Daphnia pulex: one gene and its partners. The protein of the gene in region 2 purifies or fractionates together with the protein of the main gene of each other region. This does not show direct contact. Links are inferred from orthologs where the notes say so. Each region holds a gene or a part of one and is shown on either strand. Other genes may lie near its edges.

Evidence for each region.
Region 1: the proteins of E3 ubiquitin-protein ligase RAD18-like (region 2) and E3 ubiquitin-protein ligase SHPRH-like purify together in Homo sapiens (affinity purification with western blotting; 3 studies listed by BioGRID and IntAct, with this or other methods). This does not show direct contact. The link is inferred for Daphnia pulex from reciprocal best matches to the Homo sapiens genes RAD18 and SHPRH.
Region 3: the proteins of E3 ubiquitin-protein ligase RAD18-like (region 2) and DNA polymerase eta-like purify together in Homo sapiens (affinity purification with western blotting; 7 studies listed by BioGRID, with this or other methods). This does not show direct contact. The link is inferred for Daphnia pulex from reciprocal best matches to the Homo sapiens genes RAD18 and POLH.

What each region holds. Positions count from the first base shown.
Region 1 is NC_060028.1:1,213,877-1,217,707, forward strand, and holds the start of E3 ubiquitin-protein ligase SHPRH-like, read right to left. Parts: upstream 2,398-3,831; 5' UTR 1,621-2,397; intron 1,422-1,620; 5' UTR 1,237-1,421; intron 1,144-1,236; 5' UTR 978-1,143; coding exon 965-977; intron 897-964; coding exon 1-896. UniProt on the Homo sapiens protein: E3 ubiquitin-protein ligase involved in DNA repair.
Region 2 is NC_060025.1:2,017,028-2,020,627, forward strand, and holds E3 ubiquitin-protein ligase RAD18-like, read right to left. Parts: upstream 2,124-3,600; coding exon 1,976-2,123; intron 1,902-1,975; coding exon 424-1,901; 3' UTR 189-423; downstream 1-188. Other genes in the region: alcohol dehydrogenase class-3-like, read right to left, coding at 2,396-2,420, 2,490-2,628, 2,693-2,828, 2,886-3,016, 3,084-3,132. UniProt on the Homo sapiens protein: E3 ubiquitin-protein ligase involved in postreplication repair of UV-damaged DNA. Postreplication repair functions in gap-filling of a daughter strand on replication of damaged DNA.
Region 3 is NC_060027.1:5,025,596-5,029,426, reverse strand, and holds the start of DNA polymerase eta-like, read left to right. Parts: upstream 1-1,181; 5' UTR 1,182-1,677; coding exon 1,678-1,952; intron 1,953-2,016; coding exon 2,017-2,147; intron 2,148-2,221; coding exon 2,222-2,296; intron 2,297-2,356; coding exon 2,357-2,530; intron 2,531-2,597; coding exon 2,598-2,799; intron 2,800-2,861; coding exon 2,862-3,051; intron 3,052-3,127; coding exon 3,128-3,831. Other genes in the region: coiled-coil domain-containing protein 97-like, read left to right, coding at 1-714, 775-902. UniProt on the Homo sapiens protein: DNA polymerase specifically involved in the DNA repair by translesion synthesis (TLS). Due to low processivity on both damaged and normal DNA, cooperates with the heterotetrameric (REV3L, REV7, POLD2 and POLD3) POLZ complex for complete bypass of DNA lesions.

The DNA of each region.
Region 1 (3,831 bases), on a different chromosome or scaffold from region 2:
GGTGATGATTAACGTGGCACCGGACTCGAGGGGCTCCTGCTCATTCCAGCAATGAGGACAAAAGTAAGGCCCGCGCAGTGGGTCCATCAAATCGTAGTGGACGCAGTTGCTGTGCTGCTGCCTCTTACATTTGGGGCATTGGACTAAAGGAGACAATCCAGCTACTGTTTTCCCACAGACGCATAGAATGGGGGCTTCGTCTTTTTCGGCTGGGACGTTCAAGCGATTCTGGAGACTTTTCAGGCAGCTGTACTCGGCCAGAGAGTTGGTGTAATGAATATTGAGTCTTTTGCGAATTGCAGGATTGCTGCAGGTGCAGCGCTGTATCTTTGTGGCTGTGGGATTTTCATTTTGTATGTCACCACAATGAACATCAATCACTTCTTGGATGGTTGATTTTTCAATGTCTGGACTAAAGCGCCAAATGACATTTTCAATAGATTGCCCAATGGTTCGATTTGGAAAGCATACTGCACAATGGTCTTCGGAAAGCTTCATCTTCTTGGCTTCTGGCTCTTCGTTTTCTGTGATGGCAGTGATTGCTGGTTCCTGGCGTTCGATTTTGGGCAGTTTCTCTCTCGTGTGATTCAGCATCAAGGCTAGAACTTCTACCGTCTTTCCCAGACCCATTTCATCAGCCAAGATTCCTCCTTTGACTGAGCTCTGTTGTTCCTGTTGTATCATCCATTGAACGGCTTCTGTTTGATAGATTCTCAATTCTGGGATCAGAGATTTGTGCTGCACGTCCAATATGGGAGCCGTGCAACTTTGAAGCTGTTTAGCTCTTAGATTGACAAGATCATACAGAGCATCATAATCCACTGAATGACCATGTCTGAAAGAAAAGAGGTTCACGACAGTGTCATTCGACGTGCCAGGTACAGCCATAAATTCATCTATTGTACATACAAATATTTCAATTAACAAAAAAAAAGCCATGACAAAATAGAAAAAGCGTTACTACCATTCGACTCCATTCTTCCTGCTTATTTTGAATCGGCCCGTCCAGCAGGCAGCACTCACAGCCTCACAGCAGCTACTCAATTTTGATTTTGTTCCTTAACCAAAGTCGTCTGCTAAATTCTTTAAATGAACTTTCTACCTGAACCGTAAGATGGCGTTCAAGTAACATTGAAAGAAAACCTGTTTTTGTGTTTAATTTGTTTTTTTTTTTAAATAAAAATTCTTATTACACCACAATTTCCCTCTAGCCCAAGTAATGACAATAATACACACGCAATAAAAGAAATGCAATATCGTCGTGCGGCCAAATGTCGTTAAGAGAACGTGAAATACTTCACGTCCACGGGCGAAGTGGTTTGGGAATTGTGTTTTATTGAGCAGCATATCGAATGTCGTTTTCCGGTCGTGATAGCAACCCAACAAGTTGGTATCTCCAGCTCAAACAGTCTCTCCTGAAACTGCAGCAGTAAAAATCATTTTACGACACCAAAAAGAAATTCCCAAAAAAATATAAATAAATACACACAATACAAATCTGCGCATTAAACAAGATGTTATAACTACATATAAAATACAGCAGTCGCCCAACAACGGGAGAGAAACACAAACATTTCTAAAAACGATTTATTATCAGGTTCATTATGAATTTCTTCTTACCTTTTAAAAAAACTTGTTGCCTTTGAGGCGAAATTATAGAAGAAGAAGAAGAAAAGATCCTCGGCACTTTTTATCTCAACGCAGCCGGGGGTAGAGTGTGTGGATATATCTGTCCATGTATGAATACGCGCATTCTTTCGTGATGATATTGTGCCGTGTTGCTGTCGGAGCCTCGGGGCTCTCCATTCAAAAGGAGAGAGACTTTCACGCCCGTTTTCATTTGGAGAAAACGTCAATAGAAGGACTAGCGGAGGAGCGGCTATGGCCATATCTTCTCCTTTCTATTAGTTGCTTAGCTCATTTACCTATAACGGAGCTAGCCAGAAAACTTTAAAAAACAACTATGTGTGTATTTTTCCTCCCGAGACTCCCGAGATATTGTTTGCAGATGAAAGGAGCCACATATACTACAATTTACCATCGAGTTATGAGACAGACACTTCAATAGTTAACCCCAACCAGGATCTCAATCATTATCATGAAAACCAATCAATAAATAAAAATAGTAACTGAAAGGATAAAGAAAAACAAAATTCGTTGGATGAAAAACAAAACAAAAGAAAAAAATTAATTTCACAGAATTTCACAGGGGATGGCCGTGTGTATATAAGCCTTAAGGTAAAAAGGTGCGGTCGGTTGTAAAAATAAAAAAAAATAAAAATTACCTTTTTTTTCTTCTTTATTTCTTCCAAGGTTGAGATTCTACTCAGCTTGGCGATGGAATTCAAGGTGATTGCCGCCAGAATAAATCAGTGAACAAAAAAGTTGGATCCAATTTTTGTGTTGCATTTGCTCTTTTCCTTGTAAATGTTTTCTTCACTGTGCAGAAGCAGAAAGGGAGGCTCCCGAATTTCAAGGTGAATCTAGTACAAGACTCGTTTTTTCAGGGTGGGGTCGTTTTCGTGAAAAAACGGTGGCGGGATTGCGGAAGGACGCGGATCCATCGGCTGCGAAATCACGGTATAAAAGGTGGACCATCTGCTCCAGTTGAATCAAGCCAGTCTTCCACCGTCGACTTCCAGCATCACTTTGCTCGTTCCTCAACCGAAAATCAAAATGTACAAGGTATTAAAAACAAAATCAAGCCTCAAAATTTGGATAACTTGATAGCCCAAAAGGTAAAAAAACCCCAATTCATTTAAATTCATCAAATGTTTAAAATTTCAGGTCTTCGTTTTCCTGGCCATCGTCGCCGCTGCCAGCGCCATGAGCTTCGGCTTGGGTGCACCTCTCCTCTCCAAAGTGAGCTACCAGCCCACCGAGTACACCCATGTCCGACCGGAAGTGACTGTCCAACAGCCCGAGTACACCTACAAGAGCTACCCAGTGCCAGTGCCCGTCGCCCAGCCTTACTACACCGCCCCGGTCGTCCGCAACTTCATCGCGGCACCTCAATTCCACGCCTACCCCGGACTCGCAGCTCCTTTGGTTTATTAGATTATCTTTTATTGGATTTTTTGTTTTGTCTGTCTGAGCTTTTTATACCCACGATCCCATCCATTCGATCAATAAAAACGGACCTCCGATTTTTCTTGTTAAATCCAATTGTTGGCGTTTCTTCTAGCTCCAGGTACATATCTCAAAGGTGACCAAATTGGCATTTGATAGCGATGCCACTAAAGGATTAAAAGATAAGCGTTCGTTAGTCTGTAATTGTCACAGAGAAAAAAATGGGAGTCTGCGTTAGAACGTTTTCAACTATAAATAACAAAAGAGCAGCTGACAGGAGACTGGACATTAGACACACACAAAAATGCTGTTTCTTCTGCATAATCAACTCGTTTTTTCTCTTTCTTTATTCGAATCGTGTCCAGAATGTTTTTCTTTCTACAGCCATATACAGCACACGGGGATTGAAAGAAGGAGTCCAATGTTGTTTCTCGTTTCCCGGTTAGTTGTAAAAGGCTACTAACAAAAATGGAAAGACGGAGGAGATCAAAGTCCGTTCTATTACTTGCAGACGTCTGGACTTCATAAAAATATCGTATCCTATAACACACAGCACACGGCAGCATGGGAAAGCAGTCGAGCCGAACGCATTTGCGCTTCATTTAGCGCACGTGAAGATCGTAATGAGTCTGCATTATAAAGGCCGAAAATAGCAGCTTCCCCTATTAAAAAAGCTTCATGAAAATAAATAAAAAAATCACGAAAATTAGGTGGAAATAAAAAGCTTGTGGATAAAAATAGAACATCTCTGCGGTTCATCCT
Region 2 (3,600 bases):
CTCTTTTCCTACTTAAAAATCACGTACCTATTCCTAAGCAGGCATCCTGCTTGTGTAATCATAGATCAATCAATTCATAATTAATGGAAAACGTGATTCATCTCAATTAGGGAATTAGATGCATGGATCATTCCGTGACTGAAGGACTTTCACTTTAATAAGATACTCAGTTAAATCTGGAATGAATACTCAGGACATTTCTGGGGTTTTATTTATCATTCAACAATTAGGATGCCAGTTTCTTTTACATTTTCAATTTTTCGTCGCTTTCATTTGAAATTTGTAAGCAATTTATTCTCGATCGGAAACATAAAATTTAGAACCAAAATGACTGGCATGCAAGAATAGCAGGGCAAACCATTTTTGCACAAACAAAAAGAAATTATTAGAAAAAATATTTACACAATAATGCCACAACTATCTTCAAAATCTTCTTCTTAATGACAGTTTGCGGTCGGACATGTTCAGCGAAGGAGACTTTGACCTTTTCTTTGACATTTTCAGTACGGTGGGCAACATAGCGCTCAAGCTACTGCTAGATTCTTCTTCAAATAAAAATTCGGTAGGTGACTCAACTGGACTGTAGGTCGTTGGCGAAGTGGAATTGCTGCTACTTGAATCACTTGTCGACAAAGTGATAGTTTGAGCACCAACGGACAAAGAATTGCTATCCTTAGAACTCCCAGATTCCAATGGATCGGGAATGGAATCATCGGAAGTTGATTGTCTAGAGACGTCACTATCAGACGTACCAGCAGCTGAAACCGGACGTGAACTAATCGAAGGTGGTTCATCACTTTCACTACTGTCCGATAAACAGATCATTTCGTAAACCTTTGGTGGGACATAGATCTCCGTCACTTCTTCTTCGCTTTCATTTTCTACTTTCGGAGGCTCGTTCTTGATTTTGAAAGCTGGAGGTTCCTCAGGCAACGGTAGAGTAATAGGTGGTGGCGGCAAAGGTGGACGCTGCCGAATTTCGTTGATTAAACGATCGTAACTCTCTTTGTTACTGCGTAAATACTGAAGATTTTCCTCCTCGATTTTTTCTATATCATTTGTTTTCACTTTAGCGGAAGCAAGACGTAGTTCAGTAGCCAATCGATGGTTTTCGGCTTCTTCTCGTACATGTATTTCTATCAGTTCTTCGACCGGTCTGGGCTCCAAAGCATCGCACTCAGAATTGTAGAGAATGGTAAACTTCTTGTGTCGATTGATCAGAGTAGCTTTGTCACCAACATTGCTGAGTCCCAATGTTCTAAGCCTTTTCTTCAGCTCTTGTTCCTTCATTAGATGATATATCAGCTTTGGCATGGGCTTCCTCTTGGCAGGTTTGTTTGAGTTCAAACATGAATCCAGATGAATGTTGATAATAGTCTCCCTTATCAAGTTATGACACACAGGACAAAGAACTTCTTTCACATCATTAGAAGATTGACTTGGAGGTTTCTGATGAGCACTAGGTCTTGATGCTCTTACAGGTTGGCTGCATGATGCTATTGGAGGTTGATGAGTATCTACGACAGGAACACTTGATGATGCCAAAAAGACAGAAATGTAGCTGTTCAGACTTTTTCCATCAGCTGCTGTGAAAGAAGATGATGAAATATTCTCTTTATGAACATTCTGACCAGGCAATATTTCACTTTCTGCTTGTTTGTGAATTATGGCTGAGGAATGAGAAGATAAACTGTCTCTTGAAGTTTCTGTTGAAAAACCTTCTTGTTGTTGATCTCTGGTGTTCACTAGAGTATTCAAAACATAATTCTTTACTGGCTGAAAGCATTTGATGATTTCTTCAAGGCAACGGTTTGGGCGCAGCAACCCATCAGAAATGTCAACAAAACATATTGGACAGCTGTTCTTGAGACTTATGTTTTTCCTGATGCATAACGAACAAACTGTAAATTTTAAAAAAAAGCACACATGAAGCCTTAGTATTAATATGTAAATATAAAACTAATAAAGGTATTACAATTGTGTGAGCAAGCAGTTGATATCACAGGATTTTTCATATAGTTGTAGCATATTGGACAGTGTAGACGGTCATCTATATTTTTTAACTGAGGCAACTCTCTCGGCCAAGTAACTGGAATGTCATCTGAGTTAAACAAATCTCCCATTTCAATGCAGTATTGTACTATTGTTTCACAATTTTACATGATCAAAGCCACAGCCCGCGCCATCACAAAATCTTTTCAAGTCTCATGTTAACAGCAACGTTGCCATTTTTATTTCCGGTACAACTTTTTTTGTTTTGAATTTGAAATCAAAATATGTTTTTATAATTTATAATTTCAGATGATAGGATTCTCCACGGTATGCAATTATATTTCGTATCAATGGAATAAGATGAAAATTAGATTTTAATACTGTGTTGCGACGTTCAATTGTTTCAGAAAGTGACCATGCTTCTCAAACTGAAAATAAAAAACATATGCAGGTATATATTTTTTTCTGATTAAAAAAATTTTTTAAGCATTTGTTACCATTCTCCTTTTTCAATTAGTTCCACAGCTTCATTTATGTTTTCAATTGGCATGGTGTGGCTTATAAATTCATCCACCATCAATTCCTTGGCTAAATATTCATCCACTAACTTTGGGATTTGGTCACGGCTCTTCCACCCTGACATATGATGGCCTTATTGTATGATCCATGGTATTAAAATTTTTATTTAAATATTTTAAACCTCCAAAATAGGTCCCTTTAATGGTTCTTCCATAGATTAGTTGTATAGGATTGTACGAGACTTCTGCTGTCAAATCAGCTACTCCCACAATAGTTAATACACTCAAACCTTCTTTACAGGCATTCATTGCTGCTTTCTGAAATGCAAAAAAATCTATTAAAGTCATTAGCTAACAAATTTTAATTTGTACTACCATGCAACTGGGGATGCCACAACACTCAAAAGCGTAGTCTAATCCTCCTGTTGTCATATCCATAATTACTTCCTCTATAGGTATTTTGTAGTCATCTGGGTTGATGAAATCAGTGATTCCAAATTTCTTGCCTGTAATAATCATTATTCAATCCAAGTTTTAAAAATACTTACCAGCATTAGATAAATGAATTCAAACCAATATTTTCTTTAGATGGATTAATATCAATGACCAATGACCACGACATGTAAAGCGAGTCGTACCGTCATTCATTAATCCAGCAAGCTATATATAAATAGAAATGTAAATTTCGTTTCGTTTTATCAACTGTAGGATTAGTGGATTACTTGGAATGTGCCGTTAACATTACAAATGTTGGTCTCGCTAGACTTGCAAAATTCACAATTGTAACACTGAGCTGTATAAACCGGGATTACGTGATCGCCTAATTGTAATCGATGGTTCTTTTAATTTTATTATATCGTTTCCATTTAAATAGATGAAATAACCTGGTTCAACGGAAGTAACGTTAGGTCCAACGCTTTCCACAATGCCAGCTCCTTCGTGACCGAGGATGCACGGAAATACATCCGGTCCGTCTCCCCCTCTTTGAAAAAACAAGTCAGTATGGCAAACCCCGGAAGCGACGATCTTGATGCGGACCTCTCCTGTCAGTGGAACAGCCACTTGTACCGTTTCAATCGTGAGCGGTTCT
Region 3 (3,831 bases), on a different chromosome or scaffold from region 2:
ACCAAACTGAAACCTCAACATTACCAGAAACTCATCAATCAGAATGTGACAACATTACTGACAATGATGTTGAAGAACTCAACTTGGCAAAAGAGCAAATGATCACTTATGTGGCAAATAGCCAAGCGGAAGATATTTTCTTTAGAAGCCAGCAACGTGATGAACCAGCACTTACAGCTGAGGAGAAGAAAAAGATTGCAGCGTCAGTGTTGAAATCAAGTCCTTCAAATTTCTTAGTCAGGTTTGGAAAAATATTGAATCCAAATCACCTGACTTACTTTCATCAATTTGAAAACAACTATGAAGTTTTATTTCATCTTCAGCAGCTGGAAAAACAGAATAAATTAACACAAACTAGTGTTAAAAACCTGCGTTTCCATGCAATGAATGAAATGATAAAAGAAGGGAAATATTTCAGCATGGATGAAATGAGGAAAAGAAACCCAATATTATTTCATGAGCTTGTTGAGAAATATATGTCATCAGATGAAAAAAGATTGTTAGAACAGGAACAACCAAAGCTATGTAATCTTTCAACAATTTTCATGGCCCACATAGATGGTGATTCTGAGAATTCTAAAAGGAGAAATGAACAACGAGCTGATCAATCAGCTTGGGATGAGGCATTAGCTTGCGAAGAGGAAGAAGAAGAGGATGATGATGATGATATAGATCAAGAAGAAAAGAAATTCTTCCGCGATGAATTTATATCAAGTATTATTTACGATATATTTATTTATTTTTTTTTCGATTAATATTTACCATTTTTTAAAGGTATGTATAGTAGCTTTCTCAGTGGGCGTGATGAAGAGTTCGACTACAGCCAAATTGATTCTTCACATCCCAAAGACGATGTCATATATGAAAGAGATGCCGAAGAACGATACTTTGATAGTGACTAACACAATATTAATTCGCTGTATGAAATCTTCCAAATGTCATGATTTGTAATGAAAGTAAATAAAAAAAAAATTCAATAACAAAATTGACTCGAGTACATACAGTCATACAGATTATCCGTGTAAATTGAGTATTTGGTGATTGATTATATTCGAATTTCTTTTTTTTAATAATGTAAACGATTAACAACATTTTTTAAACAAATTTTTATTATGTATGAGAACTTCAGAGGTAGCTTAAGCACCAGGTTGAAGTATGGCGGGTTTAAGTTTTGGCGGGAACTAACAAGCAGACAACTCGAGAGGAATGTGTCAATGTGGAATTGTGGATGTAGGTTGTTTACCGATTAAAAAATCTGCTCGGGAAGATATACATGCTAAACTAATATTAAATGTGACAACTTATTAAGTTTAAAAAGTCAATGTCTAAAACAACTGGGAAAACGTGGTCCGAAGGGTATCATTTTGCTCCAAACAGCTCAAAATACCTGGCAGGAGATCCAGATGTAAAATTTGTCGTTTTTGATACGTCGCCAGATAACAGTGAAGACGAAGAACTAGTTCCTTGTTTGGAAAGAAAATTGAACGATGGTATTGATCAAGTGAAGTCTCAAGAACCAATACTTACAAAGGAAATTAATTTGGTTTTGTCAAAAAGTGATGACAATGAAATTGATAGTCAGTGTTCCACATCAAGCAATGATCTTCCATTGAGTCCTTCCACCAGAGAGGATATGATACAATACTTGAACTTTTGTGCATCAAAAAAACTTAAAAGATGAGTGCTGAAGATGAAAAACGAGTTGTAGCCTTGATTGACATGGACTGTTTTTATGTTCAAGTGGAAGAGAGAGAAAATCCTGGCAACAAAGGAAAACCTGCCTGTGTGGTGCAGTATAAAAAATGGAAAGGGGGTGGTATTATTTCTGTAAATTATGAAGCTAGAGCGCAAGGAGTAACTAAGCAGATGAGAGGAGATGAAGCCAGGGAAAAATGTCCAGATTGCATTCTTTACAGAGTACCTGAACAGCGAGGAAAAGCTGATCTCACAAGGTAAAAGTATTTTTCTAAATTTATCAAAAAAGATATATATAATTTTCATAATTTGCAATTCTAGGTACAGGGATGGAGGAAAAGAAGTCATTGATGTGATGTGCAGCTTTGGTGTCGTCGTAGAGCGCGCCAGTATTGATGAAGCATACATAGACATGACCGCGGTTATAGATAAAATGCTTTCAGATTCCACAGGTTGGTTGAAAGTAAAATTCAGCTTGATGAAATTCGTCATTCACTTTGTCAATGTCCTACTTTTACTAATATAGCCACTGCGATCGATCTTGAAGAGCTTCCAAACACTTACTTTGTTGGATGGGGGAACGACACAGATGATGTAAAAGGTCGGTCATTATTTTACATGCTCTAGTTCTATTACTACAATATTTCCTATAAATTCGTAGGTGTACACGGGTGGTTACAAGCGTTATCGGAAGGAAATTGCAACGATAATGACTGGAAATTAACATATGGTGCTATTTTGGTTGAAAAGATGCGCGCTGCTGTTTATGAAAAAACCGGATTTCGTTGTTCTGCTGGGATTTCCAACAATAAAATGTTGGCGAAACTAGCTTGTGGTATGCTCTTATTTCTTTTCTTTTTTTTTATTATGAGCCTTCAAAATGACTTTTTTTTTTCCTATAGGCATCAACAAGCCCAACAAGCAAACCGTTTTGCCTTTTCGTTCCGTTGAGGAATTTTTTACGACGTTCCCTTTAAAGAAAGTTAGAAATCTTGGTGGTAAACTTGGTCTTGTTCTACGAGAAGAGTTCCATTGTACTACTATGGCAGATATCGTAAAAATTCCCGAGCGGGTCTTGCAGGAACGTTTTGATAGTAAGACGGGGTAAGTTTTCTCGCTTTCATCTTTAAATGCCTCTCATATTTATTGAAATCTTTGTCTTTCAGCACGTGGCTTTACTGGTACGCCCGAGGAGTGGATCATGAGTCGGTCAGCTCCCGCAGACTGCCCAAGTCCATAGGCTGTAATAAAAATTTCACTGGTTTAGCTGCACTAGATTCTCGGGAGAAAATAAGCCATTGGCTAGAAGAGTTATGTGCTGAAGTTTCTGAGCGACTCGAGAAAGACCGGGAAACGGTAAATCCCATCACTCTTGTACCTCTTTTTCGTGTGTTGGCATAACATATTTTCCCTTGAAAATTTATTTTTTTAGAATAATAGAACGGCAAAACTATTAACTCTGACGGTTCGATTAGAAGGCGATATACGACCGTACTCTTATACTCGTTCAATTCCTCTGACTTCTTCATACGAAAAAATGCACATGGCGAACGCTTGCTTGGCAGTTATTAGTAAAGAAAATCCTTGTTTCAAACAAGGCAACACTAGAGTTCCAGTGGTTGTTACCTGCCTTGGAGTTTCAGCTAGCAAGTTTGTTGATCAACTGGAAAATAATTCCAGGATCGATCGCTTTTTTGTCACTAAAAATAGTGCTGAAACCAACAAGGAAAAAGAACCCTATGCAGAACAGGAAGCATTGCATGAAAACGATGATCTAAACGAAAACAGTACTGATCAGGAGGATGAAGAAAATGAATTTGTAGAAACTGAAAGAATCTTGGATATTGAAGAAGAAAGTATTACGGCACCAGAACCAAATACAGCCGACTCTGCTTCAGAGTGCACTGAAGCAGAGCCTGTATCAGTCCATAGAGAAATGAGTTCAATGCCTATTTCCAATCAAGATAACTGTGGAATAGTGAAAAAAACTGGGTTTTTTGCTTCTCGTTGCCTTGACAAAAACACTCCAATACAATCAGCTAAAGAATCTGTTCCTGAACCAGCAGCCCTGAAAATGGTGGGTCTTCAAGAGTCATTCTCCGTTGAAGAACTATTTCCAGATTTAAATCAAGTTGA